Ovis aries: one gene and its partner. The protein of the gene in region 1 interacts with the protein of each later gene in a pairwise test. Links are inferred from orthologs where the notes say so. Each region holds a gene or a part of one and is shown in the gene's direction. Other genes may lie near its edges.

What was found. The genes of interacting proteins can lie anywhere in the genome.
Region 2: the proteins of TRIM54 (region 1) and SH2D1B interact in binary tests that used the Homo sapiens proteins (3 or more experiments, as listed by UniProt). The two-hybrid records come from large-scale screens. The link is inferred for Ovis aries from reciprocal best matches to the Homo sapiens genes TRIM54 and SH2D1B.

The regions. Positions count from the first base shown.
Region 1 is NC_056056.1:34,380,722-34,383,208, forward strand, and holds the end of TRIM54 (tripartite motif-containing protein 54), read left to right. Parts: intron 1-538; coding exon 539-772; intron 773-1,040; coding exon 1,041-1,063; intron 1,064-1,179; coding exon 1,180-1,304; intron 1,305-1,438; coding exon 1,439-1,531; intron 1,532-1,834; coding exon 1,835-1,851; 3' UTR 1,852-1,987; downstream 1,988-2,487. UniProt on the Homo sapiens protein: May bind and stabilize microtubules during myotubes formation.
Region 2 is NC_056054.1:113,921,963-113,925,462, reverse strand, and holds part of SH2D1B (SH2 domain-containing protein 1B), read left to right. Parts: intron 1-604; coding exon 605-770; intron 771-2,894; coding exon 2,895-2,932; 3' UTR 2,933-3,500. UniProt on the Homo sapiens protein: Cytoplasmic adapter regulating receptors of the signaling lymphocytic activation molecule (SLAM) family such as CD84, SLAMF1, LY9 and CD244. In SLAM signaling seems to cooperate with SH2D1A/SAP.

The DNA.
Region 1 (2,487 bases):
GCTTGTTTTTAACTACGTAAAAGAGTGATGATGAGAATGATATGATGGCTACCTCCATGGATCTTTTTGAGAATTAAGTGAGATAATACAAACAAAAACCAGAGTCAGAGAATTAGGCAGCAGCACTCAATGAAACTCCTTTAAATATATAGTGTTATTTTCTGAGAGAGTAGATCTTAAAAGTTCCCATCACAGGGAAAAATTTTTGTCCACTATGTATGGTGCTGGATGTTAACTAGACATATTGTGGTGATCCGTTCACAACATATACAAATATTGGATCATTATGTTGTACACCTGAAGCTAGTATGTTATATGTCAATTAAACCTCAACAAAGTATATATCAGTATTATTACTGAAAAGATCTGGGAACCAGCAGCCCTTGGGTGGAGTCCGGTCTCTGCCACTAATTTGTGGTTGTAATTGACGGGTCACATCTCTTCTTGGCTCCCCGTGACTGCCATTAAGTGGGGAGTGGGACAAGTAGCCTGGTACTCTCCCAGCTGTGAGGTCTCATCCTTACTCCTGGTTTTTCAGGAAAACAGCCGGAGGCAGAAGCAGTTGCTGAACCAGAGGTTTGAGGGCCTGTGTGCAGTGCTGGAGGAGCGGAAGGGTGAGCTGCTGCAGGCGCTGGCCCGGGAGCAGGAGGAGAAGCTGCAGCGAGTCAGGGGCCTCATCCGCCAGTACGGAGACCACCTGGAGGCCTCCTCTAAGCTGGTGGAGTCTGCCATCCAGTCCATGGAGGAGCCGCAGATGGCACTCTACCTGCAGGTGGGCCCTGGGGGGAGGGGGGCGGGCAGTGGCAGGCCACCTAGTGGCTGGAGTGGGGGCCTTTGCACTGGGAAGCCGGGTTCAAGTCTTACCTCTGGCTCCTACTTGCCCCGTGGCTTTGGGCAAGTCACCCTCTCTATCCATTTTTTTCCTTAACAAATTGGGACATGCATCCCCCCTAACCCGCAGGACAGTGGTGGGCATCAGAAATGGGATATTGCTGGACGTTGGCACAGTGCTTACTCTCACCCTCCTTTCTTCCCTGCAGCAGGCCAAGGAGTTGATCAATAAGTGAGTAGGTGAAGCGGGAAGGGAGAGGAAGGGGTGGGCGGGGACTCCACTGACAAGGGTGGGAAGCGGGGGTAGTGGTGCTGGGAGTCTCTAGCTGAGCCGCTGGGCTGCTGCAGGGTCGGGACGATGTCGAAGGTGGAGCTGGCCGGCCGGCCGGAGCCGGGCTATGAAAGAATGGATCAATTCACCCTGAGCGTGGAGCATGTGGCGGAAATGCTGAGGACCATTGACTTCCAGCCAGGTGAGGAAGCCAGGATGGGAGGGAGCGGCCAGCCGCTAGGACTGGGCGTCCAGACCCTCTGGGTCTGGGAGGGATGGGGGTAAGACGGCCAGAGAATAAGGGACCCCAACTCACCCAGCCTTCTCCTGGCCTAGGCACTTCTGGAGAGGAAGAGGATGAGGAGGTCGCGGTAGAAGGGGAAGAGGGCAACGCAGGAGCAGAGGAAGAGCGGACGGATGGGCGGGAAAGTGAGTGTGGACATCGGCGGGGCCTGGCGGGGACCCCCTTCCACCGTCGGGCCATCGTACTCTCGGGGGCATTAGGGATCGCTTGGAGCCCCTACTCCCAACCTCAACCAGGAGGGGCGCGCCCTCTAGCGCGCCGGCCCAAGTACAACTTTCTTTAACACTATCCATCTCTCTGGGCTGGTGGGAGACCGGGTTAGGTGGGGAAGTGAAGGAGAAACCCTCCTGCTTAGAGAAACGAGTGAGCTGGGCTTCGGAATTGCCTTGTTTCTTGGGAGCGCCCGCCCACTGAGCTTTCTTTCCCAGGCACAGGCCAGCACTGACTCGCTCCTGTTGCGGATCCTGCGCACCCGGGTCCTGGCGCTCGGATGGTGAACGACCTGAGCAGAGACCACCGTACCACCCAGCCCGGCGTGGCGCCGCGGGGGAGGGGCTCAATAAAGAGTTAATGCGTCCCGACCCGCAGCTCCTTTCACTGCTCACTCTCTGAGCTTCTGCTTCGGAGACATAGCATCACCATCCATCCTGCCCTTCTCCAAATCTGGGACCTCTTGGGGCGAGGACGGGTGGGGGTGGGGTGTGTGAAGCGGAACGAACCCTTATGGGGCACCTCCTTGACATTAGGCACGGATTCGCGAGCCCAGAGCCAAGAGAAGAGGGCAGGGGGGTGGGGCGGCGACACTGGGGCTTGACTTCCTGGAGACTTGGAGACGATGGGGACCCCAGGACCCTGGCAGAAAGCGGTTCTCACGGAGCCCTCCCACAGCATCTGGTTCCCTCTCGCCGGCCTGGGAGACCCCACTTCCCCGCGGGCTCACACCCTTCTGTGGCTCCCCGCGCCCCCACAACAGAGGCCAACGGCTCTTCAGCACTTTTATTAAAAACCGGTAACGCGGAGAGTGCTCAGGGTATCCCTAGGCCGCTCTAGCCCTGCAGGACTTGGTCAGTTCCTGTCGCTC
Region 2 (3,500 bases), on another chromosome or scaffold:
ACCTGAATCATGCTGACATTTCCATTTTCAATTTAAATCCGGACATTTTGGTCTTATTTTCCTCTCACGGAGATTCTGAATTCAAGTATGTAGGCTTTTATGATTTTTTTTTTTTTTTTTTGGCTATGTGGCTTGCAAGATCTTAATTCCTTGATCAGGGATTGAACCCAGGACCACGCAGTGACAGCACTGATTCCTAACCACTGGACCACCATCAAGTACAGAAATTGCATTTCCCATTGAAGTCTGCCTGCATTAGTCGCTTACACTCTCACATAAGCTCTTAGAGGGGTTACCCTCCACAGGGTACGGACAAGAGCTGCCCCCACATTGCCATAGATGGGAATTCACTCAATACTGCAGACTGAGGTGGGGACCCTTGATTGTTAATCCTCTTTACTCACAGTAGCTCAAGCCAGAGCTCTGTTTTTAGAGGGAAGGTTTCTGTGTTTTGTGTGTGGTGTGAGCTCCCACACATGAAATGCCAGCCACTTGTTTTCAGTTCGCTGCTCAGAGGCAGCCCTGAAAACCACTGTTGTGAGAAGTGTCACCTTTCACACATAGTTGCGTGGTGATGAGTGCTCTCCTTCTTGTATTTTTGCAGACTGTGGAAGGTGTTAAACGAGAGATCTTTCCAAACCTGAAGGAACTGATCTCCAAGTTTGAAAAGCCAAATCAAGGACTGATGTTTCACCTCGTAAACCCAATAAAGAGAACCAGATCCTGCCTGAGATGGAGAAGATCGAAGATAGAGTTGGATGGTATTTATGGTAAAAACTTTCATAGGGGGCCCAGACAAGAGCCTTAGTCCCACTTCTACTACAGAATCCATACAGATAACTGCTCCTTTCTATGATGTTAGCTCTAGAAAGCCTCATCCTGCGAATAGCATTTTTCTATCTTGTTAGGAAGCAGTGCCTTCATGCTCCTGGTGGTGGCAAACGCACAGAGCTCTCTGTGCTCAGGCAACCCAGGGAAAATAGTGGTCCCCGGGCATTCCATGCTGCGGCTGCTGCTGCTAAGTCGCTTCAGTTGTGTCCGACTCTGTGCGACCCCATAGACAGCAGCCACAAGGCTCCTCTGTCCCCGGGATTCTCCAGGCAAGAATACTGGAGTGGGTTGCCATCTCCTTCTCCAATGCATGAAAGTGAAAAGTGAAAGTGAAGTCTCTCAGTCGTGTCCAACTCTTAGCGACTCCATGGACTGCACCCTACCAGGCTCCTCTGTCCATGGGATTTTCCAGGCAAGAGTACTGGAGTGGGGTGCCATTGCCTTCTCCCAGGCATTCCATGAGTCAACTTCAAACTCACCCTGTGACCTTGTGCCAATCACATATTTGGGAATAGATGGCCAAAAAGCAGAATTTTCAAATAAGAAAATTGCTTCAACTTCCTTCTCCAAGCCTCATCCTGTTACATTTTGCTCAATATTTGCTAAGCATTCATTTATGTGGTGTTAGTGGACAAATTGGGCTTTCCCGGTGGTCCTAGTGGTAAAGAACCCGCCTGTTATTGCAGGAGACATAAGAGATGTGGGTTTGACCCCTAGGTCTGTAAGATGCCCTGGAGGAGGGCATGACAACCCACTCCAGTATTCTTACCTGGAGAATCCCATGGACAGAGGAGCCTGGTGGGCTACAGCCCATAGGGTCGCACAGAGTCAGACATGACTGGAGTGCCTTAGTAGGGAGCAGGGGGCTAATTATTTCAGATACACCCCAAGAGTTATCAAGCCATGGTGGGAAATGAGAGTGCAGAGGATCAGTAAATCTGAGTGCACAGGATCCAGGTCATATCCCAAGCAGTGACTCTTGTGTACACCCCTTGAAATCTGTTAGCAGAAAAGAATCTAGTATCCATCAGTCACAACATAGTTCGAATTTAGCTCAGACTTCCTGAGACATTTACAGTTTAACCCTGTTTTCTCAAGGTGGAATGTATGGTTAGAGCCCCATTAAAGGGATTTCAGTCCTCAGTGGGCAGGTGACGTAATGGGAGCAGAGTGCTAGCTAGGGAGCAAGGAGGGGAACAGAGGGTTCCAGGAAGTCTGCAGTCACCCCATACCCATTGTACTCTGTCTACAGCCTCGCTGCCCTTTAGACTGCCAGAGAAAGCTTCTCACCTCCCCAAGACTGAACACAGTTTTTTAATGAGAAAACAGCCCTCCCCTCCCATTGTTTCTGTCTCCCTCCCCCAGGCAGAGGAGTGTGTACCCCATCACAGAGTTGCTTGCTATAGTTATAGCTGCAGATGTGGTCCCATGGCCATTTTCTACCATAACTTACAGAAAGAAATAAAAATACAAAGAATAAAAGGGGGGCAGAGGAGCAACCTAGGGATGTACTCGTGCTGCAGTCCTTAGGCAAACCCTGATGAGCTGCTCGGGGTGCTTGAGGGTGGCGGTAGTATTTGTCTCAGGGATAATAAAATAACCACAAATCCCAAGAGGAGAACCCTTTGGAGTTCATTCCAAGAGCTGAGCGGGAATCTCGCCACACCAGTTGTCCAAGCTCGGGCAGCCTTGGCAGAACGAGCTCCCAAATCCTCAGCCATTAAGGGGGAAGGAACTTCTTCTGAGCTGCTCATCGTCTCCCCCGCCCCCGTTCCCTTGGCCACCTCAGAACAAGCCTCACGTGTTCTCACCCTCAGGGCGGCACAGGTTCTCTGCTGGTGAGTGGAGGCATCTGGTGCTGGAAACTCTTGTCCTTGACTTATAAACAGGCCCCCTATGTTGCCAGGAGAGCTCCCTGTGGTGCCCCAGCTCTTGAAGGTGTCACTCTGCTGTGGCATCAAGACCACCCTGTGCCTGGGCAGAGGGCTTCTTTCCCACGAGAGGTGTTGGTCAGGGTGACTCCTGGGTGCAGAGCCTCACGGCTGGTCTCCTTTTCTCCCCAGAGAACAGTGGCAGCGACTATGTGGATGTCCTGCCTTGAAGGGATGGAGACTGGATGAAGCGCTTACAGAAGAGATGGGTGACAGCTCTCGCCAGCGATCCTGCTTCTCCTGCAGGTGTGGGTCTGGAAGACCAAACTCTAGGGGACAATTTAGACTCTCCTGTTCTGAGTGACTGAAGATGTTTTGTTCACCAGCTGCAGAGAAATCAGTCCCCTTGCCCTGCCTCCCATGCTTACCAAACGAGGAGCTTCAAAACCCCATTTCCCCTCCCACTGTTCTTTCTTGGAATAGGACCACCTGAACCTATTCTTGACTTGTTAAAGGTACTACCACTACAAGACAGTTGACATCTGGTCAACTGGGAGAGAAGAGAGTGCTGGTGTCTACTTTGGAGCCTGAGTTCCAGTCATGATGATGTGACTGCAGACAAACCACTTCCTCTTTCTAGGCCTGTTCCTTCATTGAAAAACAAGTGGCTGGGCAGAGGACAGCCGATGCCCCAGCCTCTTTGCTGAAGCTGGTTGAGTCAGGTGGCGTTGGGGAGCCCCTGAGTGATGGACGTGTATACTGGATCTCAGACTCCCAAAACAGCCAACACATTCTCTG